3 linked regions of the Saccharomyces cerevisiae S288C genome follow. The gene in region 1 interacts genetically with each later gene. Each region holds a gene or a part of one and is shown in the gene's direction. Other genes may lie near its edges. The genes, in order: FRA1, MUB1 and MDL1.

Region 1 (3,758 bases):
TTTGTGGCCCACATGGTCAATACCTAGCATGTGTCCAATCATGACGTCCCATTCCTTGTCCTGCTGTAAATGATCATGGAAGTAATCCATAACACCGTTATCGACAGTATCTAAGTCCCACACATTGAGTGATTCTAGTGGGAAACTATCGTTGGAAAGGAACGGATGGAACAGAGCCATCCATGTATCATCTCCGGCAAATTTGACAGTCTTATTTGCCAAATGGAGCTGTTTAAGAAAGTTATCCTCTTCGATTACTGTTCCATCGAAGTTAGACCCGGCATCAATGAAAGTCGGTAAGGACCCTGTTGTGAGACCCTTGAGTCTTTGTAAAGTAGTGGTTGGTGGGTCGGCAATGAACTTCAACAATAGGGAAGATGCATCCTTATCGCTTGCAAAAGAATCATACAATGATAATATATTATTATGATAGTTCAAGTTGTAATTAGAGTGGGATTCGTTTACAGGAATAGCGAAATCAAATCTCAAAGCGTCAATAACCAAAATCACCGCCTTGTTGAACCTAGGAGGTAACTTACTCGTTTCGTTTTGTGAGGAAATATTATCAAGAACGTGTCTTGACAGTAAGAATCCCCGAGTGAAAAAAGCTATTGATATGAATTGTAAAATGGCGATGAAAACCAATAGAATAATATAAAATTTATGATTCTTTTGAAATTTCTTTATTCGCGATTTGTATATTATTTTTTCATCATTGGAAGATGAAAGAATCGACTTTTTAATTGTCTTTTCATCCATATTACGGGAGCTTTTTTTTTCCACTTAATGTATTGATCTTCCTCCCGTTCTTTGACGATTCGGCGTTGCCCTTAAAACATATGCTTCTATTCCTTTTTTGATCTTACCCATTTATTTGTTTTTTTTTATTTTCCGGTGGACAACAAAATGTTAAAGGAAAAAAGAAAGTACCTTGCTCGTCATCGCGCTTGCATAATGTGCGCCATTACCCTGTAACAAAAACAAAAGATAGAGTGGCAACAACTTGACACAACTTTGCAATTGTACCATGAACCCCAACAAGAAAGGCGGTTGAGAGTAAATGATGTGGTTTGGTTCCTTTTTTTTCCTACATTTAAGGTTCATAGAGAAGAAAATTTTCTGAAATGTCTTTTCCTCTTTTAATGAATTGTAAAAAAGCCAGTATTGGAATAATATTCTATTCAATATAGTAAGAAAAGAGGCAATGGGCAGAAATCTTCTCCCGCATAATCCTTTAAATGCAAAATACATGTTAGGCGTCTAAATTTTTTTCAGTGAATCCAGATGCAGAAACATTTAAACAATAAATATCTTAAACCCATTTTGAAGCATCGGCGGCTAAAAAAATGATTTTGCATGGAAAAAAATGAGAGCTGTGAACCCAATAAAAAAGACAGCTTTTTAAAAATGTATAACGGTACATTAAGCTCTTGTTTATTCCTCAAACTGCTCCTAAAAACCATCCTCTCAAAAATAATAATGATAGCTGAAGATTATCTGCCACGAAATGCCATTGAGCCGCTTACTTGTAGGTTTTCATGAGTAATAACGAAGATAATTTACCCGTCTTTATAACCCACGTAAAAATAAACATATAATTATTTCTTATTATTTCAACTAACCGTTAAAGTGTTCAAATATGGTAGAAAGCTTTCCCTATGTGCATTATGATTATCTTTTAGCCGCCAGAGTTTAGTTTAATTTTGTTTTGTTTTTGACGACTTCTGGTGTTACCCGAAGGTATATCCCCGGGTGACCCCTAAAAATCGCACCCCATTTTCCCGAATTTTCTTCTACGTTTTCTTTTTTCAGAAATACTTCGAATGAGGGATGGAACAAGAAGGAAGCGACATACAAAAACTGAGTCAGTTTAGTCTTAATAGGTGCAATATTTACAAATACAGGAAAGGCAGGAAGCACTGGCAAAAAGACTGCATAGCTAAAAAAAAAAAGAATAAAAAAAAAACGGAGACCTCAACAGAGCGAAACCAATAATTACAAACAAAATCTTCATATGACTTCGAAACCATCCACCAGTGACGGCAGGGCTCACTCGATTTCCCATGTACCTGGCACGCACATGAGAGGAACATCGGCATCACACAGCCCCAGACCGTTTAGGCCATGTGCGGATTGTACGTGTTCTCCAGGCTTACTGTCTAGGCAAGGTCGTAGAGCCTCTCTATTTTTAAGACAGTTAGAAAATTCAAGGAGGTCCTCCAGCATGCTTCTCAACGAGTTGAAGGGCGCTGGCGGAGGTAGCAGTGCTGGAAATGGGTCTGTTTACTCATGTGACTCTCTATGCGCTGTTAACAGGGAAGTTAACACTACTGATAGATTGTTGAAGTTGCGTCAGGAGATGAAGAAACACGATTTGTGTTGTTATATTGTGCCCAGTTGTGACGAACATCAGTCCGAATATGTATCATTGCGAGATCAAAGGCGCGCCTTCATTTCAGGGTTTTCCGGATCGGCCGGTGTAGCCTGTATCACCAGAGACTTGTTAAATTTCAACGATGACCATCCGGATGGGAAATCCATTTTGAGTACTGATGGAAGATATTTCAATCAAGCTAGACAAGAACTAGATTATAATTGGACACTTTTGAGGCAAAACGAAGACCCAATCACTTGGCAAGAATGGTGTGTCAGAGAAGCTTTGGAAATGGCCAAGGGACTTGGCAATAAAGAGGGAATGGTGTTGAAGATAGGTATTGACCCAAAACTTATCACTTTCAACGACTATGTTTCTTTTAGAAAAATGATTGACACTAAATATGACGCAAAGGGTAAAGTGGAGCTGGTTCCCGTGGAGGAAAACTTAGTTGACAGTATTTGGCCTGATTTTGAAACTCTACCTGAAAGGCCTTGTAACGATTTACTACTGTTAAAATACGAGTTTCATGGTGAAGAATTCAAAGACAAGAAGGAAAAGTTACTGAAAAAGCTGAATGATAAGGCTTCCTCTGCGACGACCGGTAGGAATACTTTCATAGTAGTTGCGTTGGATGAAATTTGTTGGTTGTTGAACTTGCGTGGATCCGACATTGACTATAATCCAGTTTTTTTCTCCTACGTGGCTATTAACGAAGACGAAACCATTCTTTTCACCAATAACCCCTTCAATGATGACATATCGGAATATTTTAAGATAAACGGTATTGAAGTCAGACCTTACGAACAGATATGGGAACATTTAACAAAGATAACTTCGCAGGCTTCTTCTGCGGAGCATGAATTTTTGATTCCTGATAGTGCATCGTGGCAGATGGTTCGTTGTTTGAACACCTCAACCAACGCTAACGGTGCAATAGCTAAAAAAATGACTGCACAAAACTTTGCGATAATTCACTCACCCATCGATGTTTTGAAATCTATCAAGAATGACATCGAAATAAAAAACGCACACAAGGCGCAGGTCAAAGACGCAGTATGTTTAGTGCAGTATTTTGCATGGCTGGAGCAGCAATTAGTGGGGCGCGAGGCACTGATAGATGAATATCGTGCCGCAGAAAAATTGACCGAGATTAGGAAAACCCAAAGGAACTTCATGGGCAATTCCTTCGAAACAATATCCTCCACAGGTAGTAACGCCGCCATCATACATTATTCGCCGCCCGTAGAGAACTCTTCGATGATTGATCCTACCAAGATATATCTTTGCGACTCCGGTTCGCAATTCTTGGAGGGTACAACTGATATAACAAGAACAATTCACTTAACAAAGCCAACCAAAGAAGAAATGGATAATTACACAC
Region 2 (3,758 bases), on another chromosome or scaffold:
TTACTCAAATGTTCATCGGTGCTATTTTTCCCGAATACAGGAAAGACCAAAGGTATACCACCTCTCACAGGTTTGCTACCATCCAATTTAGCAGCAGTAGACAACCACAACTGTTCTTCAGATTTCAATTTCCAAGAATAAACTGTAGCACCGTACTTTAGAATATGAACGCTGGTGGTCTCATCAGCTGGATGAGTCAAAACAACTTCTTTATCAGTTTCTTTGATAGGCATGGCTTTGTGTTTTAATCTTTCTTGGTTCAAGTTTTACCAAAGGCTTATAATGAACCTCAGAATCACCTCTTTATTCATTTCTAGGGACCTACTAAGTTTTCTTTCGGCGTGAAAAATAAAAGGCGCATTGGTGACCCCATTTGCGATACCTTTTTATGGAAAGACAGCTTGAAGAAAGACCTTGTTATCATTGACTGCGTCTAGCGAACGAGGACATCTACACACTATTTCTTCTGCTGCAATGATTGATGCCGTTTAGATGAATGGTCGGGACGTAACTTATGTTTTAAGAAGAAGGCACTTTTCCTGGTGCAATAGATGAATCTCGGTTTCAAGTTAACTATATAAATATGGGGTTGGCATTATATGTCATGCTTTATTATAATTAGGCATATAAAACTACATGGTTATGAAAGGCGCTGGCAGTAAAAGGGTTGTTTGTCAATGGCAAGAATTAATCATTCTCGCATTGAAATATATGTAGATCGAGGTGAACTGTTAGATGGTCCATCAGACATTTATTATTTTGACTTATGTATTTCCCTCTCAATTTTGTTATCAGTAATCGAGTCATGTGTACTTTAAAGTTCATATTCTCACGTTTTTCGCAAGATATTAGCCGCCAATAGCAACTCCGAATAATAAGAGCTATATAAAGGCCGTTGAAGCCCACGGAAAGAGAAAGAAAACTAATAGTTATTACAATATAGACCGTTGGTTTTTTCTTTCCCTCCTGGAGCAGCTGCGTATAGTTACTACCTAAGAAGTGGGCTAGAAGTTGGCTAGAAGTGGGCTACTTAATATATATCTTTGGATACATAGAAAGGAACCAGGAAAAAGGAAAATTATTTAGATGGCTTCCATAAGTTTATGATGGTTCAAACGGCAAAAAGCCTTTTGACTATTTTTCTTGGTTGAACTATCTTCTTATTAGGCCTACTACAACAATGCATCGAGCTAGGATAACAACTAGAATACTTTGGTTATGTATTGTATGGGTGTTCAGTGGCAAAATTTGAGAGTTGGGTTATTGATGGTCGGCCTATACAAACGAAAGACCTAGAGCAGCTCACAAGGAAGAAAGTGCTGGACAAACTTCCCTACCTGAAGAGAAAAATATCCGTTTTTTATATAGTTTCTGTAAGTGTGCACAGTGACTTCCTCATTAGAGCGATATAGATAATTTGAGACTTTATTTATTTTTTATTTTTGTTGGTTCTCATATTCAACCTTCCATTTATCTAAGTTGAACCATTAAACATTCCCTTTTTTACTTTGCTAATTTCATCATACCCATTGATCAACTATAAGTGAAACTTGGGAATCTTCCATTATACAAAGGTGAGGTCCCTATTTGTTGCATTTTTCAATTCATTTCCCTGGGAGTTTTTGTTTGTTTTTGCTATATTAACATATCATAACAGCGTATAGAACGTAATTTGAAATATTCAAAACAAAGAAAAGGTAAAGAAATGAGAGACTCTAATCATCGATCATTAACGTCGAACAAGCCTATAGTAACAATAACATCTACTGTCTATGACCGAAGGGCATTGGATATCAACTCTAGTATTCCGTTAATAAACTCCCTAAACTACTTAACATATCTAACCTCTAATTCATCAAAAGTTAGGGAAACGGTAGCTAACGACGGTGCTCTCGAAAGATTAGTCTCAATATTGAGGAGTTGTCATTTAAGTTTGTTTGAGTTGCTGGATTTGGATTTAGAAAATTTTAATGAGCACGAAAACATAAAGGATCTATGGAAGGAGAAAAGACTAGCACTATGCGCTTGGAAATGGACTTTAACATTTCAGTGCTTAGTATTGACAGGTACTAGAGGGACAGAACAAATTCGTAAAAAAGTGGTAATGTCTGGGGTCTTATCTGTGCTGGTCACAGTATTGGATAACTATTTACTATATCATAAAAATTACGACTTCATCAAAGATCAAACAATGACCTTTGACTTCAAAGGGATAACCACGGAGACAATGTATAAATTCATGAGAAAAGATGAGAATGAAACATATCAGCAGTATATAGAGTTCATTACAGGTCAGGATAAATTGAAGTTGTCAACTGACAAAAATTTTCTAAACGAACGATTAGTGGCACCGTCTATGACAATTCCAACTGATTTTAGTGATATATGGGGCCGGTTTGCAGACCTAGCTAGCAATTTTGAACCTGACCAGGAAAGACACGACGACGACATTGATATTGATAGTGAAGTAGAAAGTGAAAATTTTGATGCACATAAGAATTTCTTTTCGCAACCAGACATTAATAGACCTACAATTTCCACTCCACGTGAATTTTTTCTCGGAAGAATTGTCCCCAAACAAGACGACGTTATATGGTCGCTTCAGTTATTAGCTTTTGTTTCGAAGTATACATATATGAAATCAACCCTTCAAAATGTTGAGCTGGTTGAATCCCTATCGTTCAGAAGTATGGCTTACAAAATTAAACAGAGAATCTCAGAAGAGAATGACTTAGAAGAACAAGAAAGAGACGTAACTGTAAAATTGTCTTCATTATATCCTTATTTATCGAAAAATCCTGAAAACAATTCCAAAGTTAAGGCACTAGATACTAGCAAAATGGATCCATTTTTCAAAGAATTAGAAGAACTCTCAAACAGATGTCAACAAGAAGAACAAAATGAAATATGTAATAACCACTGTCCCGTTCTTAATTTGTTTGAGCGCTACCGTGTACCGAAACCTAGCGACGACAATGCCTATGGCAAAGACAAGGAAAGAATTAATTTAAGGAAGAAAATATCTGATAACTTTGAAAGGCGCTGGAGCTACGATAAAATGAAAAAGGAATTAACAAATATTGTTTACAAAAACAAGGTACTAACAAATGTTGTAAACATCTTCCCCTTAGTCGAAAAATATACAGTGAGCGCAGAAAATACACATGATGTTATATATTGGAGTTCTGTCATCATGAGAAATTCATGTCGAAAAAATGAGATCTTAGGTGTGCGTCAGTGTGCCAATTTTTCGTGCGGAAAATGGGAAGATTTTCCAAGACAATTTGCAAAATGTCGTCGATGCAAAAGAACGAAATATTGCTCACGAAAGTGTCAATTAAAAGCATGGGGATATCATAGGTATTGGTGTCACGAAGTTGGATCAAGTCATATGAGATCCACGAATACTACCACAGGTGTCAATACCCCAAATGAGCCTAGTTCTTTAAATGCCACCGCTACTACAGCAGCTGATGTTTCGAATTCTACCAGTACGTTCACTCCTAATATATCCACCACCGTACCTGATGAAATAAGCAATAGGGATGAAAATAGCATACCTGAGTAAAGTACAAGGGGATTTCGATGACCTAGGTTTAACAAGATCATGAAATATTCATTAACGGAGTTTTTTGTTTTCGCTTTTTTTATTTTTTGTTCCTAATTTTTTTTTTTTTTACATTTTATTAGCTATACACTTGGCGCAAGGATATTTTATATACCGGATATAATAGATAATTAAAAGACTACTAATTAAA
Region 3 (3,758 bases), 450 kb from region 1:
CTGGGATGATGAAGTCGCCGGCAATTAGTTCAGCTGAATTATTTGAAGGGTACGATTCTCTCCCTGAAAGACAAATGGAAAGTCCGCAAAAATCTAAGATGAAGTCTCCTACATTAGCATCGACCGATGATATTAATTCCGCTTCTGCTTCCGTAAACTCACATGCTACCTCAGTAAAACAAACTGAATTATTTGTGACTGATAATTCTTCAAAAATCAATGACTCTGTGTCGGCGCAGTCCAGTGTCACTACTAACTTCAAAGATACTTTTACCACCCCAATGACATCAGGAATGCTCAACCATGAAAATTCAGAGAGAAGCTTTGGTTCAGGATTAAAACTCAAAATCACTGATTCAAATTTGGAAAATATGGAAGACGTTGAAGCGAAATCTGCTAACGAATTCTCTACGACACCAGAAGACAAACATATTCACCTCGCCAATGCAGCCGAATTATCCGCCCTTTACGACAAATATTCCACATCTCCGTTTGGTAAATCGGAGGCTAATTCAAGCCCTAAACCTCAAAAATTGGAAGTTAAAGATCGGTCAAAAAATGAAAACAGAAGCCCCTATGAGAGATACGTAGGTACATCCGCTGAAAGCAAGACATTTGAAATAGGTAACGTCAGAGAGTCGAAAAGTACGATAAATACTTCCCTTTCTTCGCCTTTGAGGGTAGAAGATAGTAGACGTTCAAAAAATGAGGACCTGGGATCTTTGAAAGAGTTTGAAGAGTTATCTCAAAAGATTAGCAATATGGGAATGGCAAATATTTCTTCAGAAGCTTTAAGTGACACAGCAGAAAACAGTTCTTTTGTTACGGACCTGAACTTGAATATCAATAACAGTTCATCGGTCAATCTCAATGAAGAACAACGTGTGCCGGATTTTGGGGAGGAAAACGTATTTGATCCAGATTATATGGAACAAAACCAAATGTTGGAAACAGAAAGTAGGTACACTACGGATGAGTTTGACTTTTCAGATAATCAGGATGCAGCATCCAGTAATTATAGCAATGGGCAAACCAACCGAACAGTAACTGAAACCCTTTCTGCCAGTGACAGAAATGACAAGATCCCACATTCTTCTTTATTTACAAACTTAAACCAGCTTACTTCGAATGGAGGAAACTATCAGGATAGGGAAGATTTCTCTGGTGATCAAATAAACAAACCTCAACAATCTCAACCACTTCATGTGAAAGGACCACAAACTTCGTCATTTGGTTACAGAAATTCTTCAGCCAATAGCTCGCAGCCTCAAGCACCATACCCGGTTGGTCGCCCGTTAGGTAAGATAAGAACGGGTCCGCTGACCGTCCAGCCTATGCAACAAGGTGGAAACTCATCAATGTATTCTTTCCAATCTTCGCAACATCGGTTTCATTCGTCGCAACAGCGCCAAAACCAATCACTTTCCTTCAGAAACAATACCTATGGAAGTGGTAACAATCAAAATACATTCCATCCATCGCCGCAACTGCAACAACAGCCTCAAAATATGAGATATTTGAATAATAAGTTACCAATAAATGATAGATCTCCAATACCGCAAACACAGCACCATGTACCAGATGGCCGTCCCAGCCTCCATATAAATACCACTAACCGCACAAATCCGCTTACTGCACAAAGTGGATTTTCTCAATTTATGCCTCCCAATAGCACATCAACCAACCCATATTCCAGCTGATTCATTTATATTTCATCTTTTCTTTTTTTTTTTTTTACAATTCAGTAGTTTTATATAACTTCCCATAAATGTATTATTTTTTTAATACGACTATAATATACCTCTATACCCTTATTTATCTCTTTACCTTTGCTTTTAAGCTAAACAAATCTTCATTAACAGGTATTATATTACTGGCGTCGCGTTTCGTTTAGGCGCATCGAGCCGAGACTTCAGAATCACAAATGCTTTGTATATATGTTACGTATTCAGTATTGCCCAACATGCAACTAGATTCAACTAAGCAGACGTGGGTACTTACATGAGAAGCAGATCATTGAAATTTTACTAAGTTAAAGAAGAGGAAGGGCTCCAATGATTGTAAGAATGATACGTCTTTGTAAAGGTCCAAAGTTGTTGCGAAGTCAATTCGCATCAGCAAGTGCACTATATTCAACCAAGTCATTGTTCAAACCTCCCATGTACCAAAAAGCGGAAATTAATTTGATTATTCCACATAGAAAGCACTTTTTGTTGCGGTCGATTCGATTACAATCAGACATTGCGCAAGGAAAGAAGTCCACCAAGCCCACTTTAAAGTTGTCCAATGCAAATTCAAAATCCTCGGGGTTTAAAGACATTAAACGGCTATTCGTCTTATCTAAACCGGAATCCAAGTACATTGGTCTTGCCCTCCTTTTAATCCTCATTTCAAGTTCAGTTAGTATGGCTGTACCTTCCGTTATCGGTAAATTATTAGACTTGGCTTCCGAAAGTGACGGCGAAGATGAAGAGGGCTCAAAAAGCAATAAGTTATATGGTTTTACGAAGAAGCAATTTTTCACAGCATTAGGAGCAGTATTTATAATTGGAGCAGTTGCTAATGCAAGCAGAATCATCATTTTAAAGGTCACCGGTGAGAGACTGGTCGCAAGATTAAGAACGAGAACAATGAAAGCTGCATTAGATCAAGATGCCACATTTTTAGATACTAATCGTGTCGGTGATTTGATCTCAAGATTATCATCTGATGCATCTATAGTGGCCAAATCGGTCACACAAAACGTCTCTGATGGAACAAGGGCAATTATTCAAGGGTTTGTCGGTTTTGGCATGATGAGCTTCCTCTCGTGGAAATTGACTTGCGTAATGATGATTTTAGCCCCTCCTTTAGGTGCTATGGCACTGATATATGGTAGGAAAATACGAAACCTATCAAGACAGTTACAAACCTCAGTAGGTGGGTTAACAAAAGTGGCAGAAGAGCAATTAAATGCTACTAGGACAATTCAAGCATATGGTGGTGAAAAAAACGAGGTTCGCCGCTATGCAAAAGAGGTTAGAAATGTATTTCATATTGGTCTGAAGGAAGCGGTTACTTCCGGTTTATTCTTCGGAAGTACTGGGCTAGTTGGCAACACTGCAATGCTGTCGTTATTATTGGTTGGAACAAGCATGATTCAAAGTGGTTCAATGACTGTCGGTGAATTATCTAGTTTCATGATGTATGCCGTGTATACCGGAAGTTCATTATTTGGTTTATCGAGCTTCTATTCAGAACTTATGAAAGGTGCTGGTGCGGCTGCCAGGGTTTTTGAATTAAATGACCGTAAGCCATTGATTCGTCCGACTATTGGAAAGGATCCTGTGTCATTAGCCCAAAAACCCATCGTTTTCAAAAACGTGTCATTCACTTATCCCACTCGGCCCAAACACCAGATTTTCAAGGATTTGAATATTACTATCAAGCCTGGTGAACACGTTTGCGCTGTCGGTCCATCAGGAAGCGGCAAATCAACAATTGCGTCTTTGTTGCTCAGGTACTACGATGTGAACTCAGGATCGATCGAATTTGGTGATGAAGACATCAGAAATTTCAACTTGAGGAAGTATCGAAGACTAATAGGATACGTGCAACAAGAACCACTACTTTTCAATGGGACTATTCTGGACAATATCCTCTACTGCATTCCGCCTGAAATTGCGGAGCAGGATGATCGTATTAGACGTGCTATTGGAAAAGCTAATTGCACAAAATTTTTGGCCAATTTTCCAGATGGATTGCAGACTATGGTTGGT

Evidence for each region.
Region 2: mutations in FRA1 (region 1) and MUB1 together harm fitness more than expected from each alone (negative genetic interaction), as found in Saccharomyces cerevisiae (2 studies listed by BioGRID).
Region 3: mutations in FRA1 (region 1) and MDL1 together harm fitness more than expected from each alone (negative genetic interaction), as found in Saccharomyces cerevisiae (2 studies listed by BioGRID).

The regions. Positions count from the first base shown.
Region 1 is NC_001144.5:79,447-83,204, forward strand, and holds the start of FRA1 (aminopeptidase P), read left to right. Parts: upstream 1-2,014; coding exon 2,015-3,758. Other genes in the region: mannose-ethanolamine phosphotransferase GPI13, read right to left, coding at 1-759; RRT7 (Rrt7p), read right to left, coding at 910-1,251. UniProt on the Saccharomyces cerevisiae protein: Involved in the regulation of the iron regulon in responss to decreased mitochondrial iron-sulfur cluster synthesis.
Region 2 is NC_001145.3:464,595-468,352, forward strand, and holds MUB1 (MYND-type zinc finger protein MUB1), read left to right. Parts: upstream 1-1,705; coding exon 1,706-3,568; downstream 3,569-3,758. Other genes in the region: YMR099C (glucose-6-phosphate 1-epimerase), read right to left, coding at 1-233. UniProt on the Saccharomyces cerevisiae protein: Involved in the determination of the onset of polarized growth. Required for the ubiquitin-dependent degradation of RPN4. Cooperates with UBR2 to transfer ubiquitin from RAD6 to RPN4.
Region 3 is NC_001144.5:526,246-530,003, forward strand, and holds the start of MDL1 (ATP-binding cassette permease MDL1), read left to right. Parts: upstream 1-2,054; coding exon 2,055-3,758. Other genes in the region: SKG3 (Skg3p), read left to right, coding at 1-1,700. UniProt on the Saccharomyces cerevisiae protein: Mediates export of peptides with molecular masses of 2100 to 600 daltons generated upon proteolysis of mitochondrial inner membrane proteins.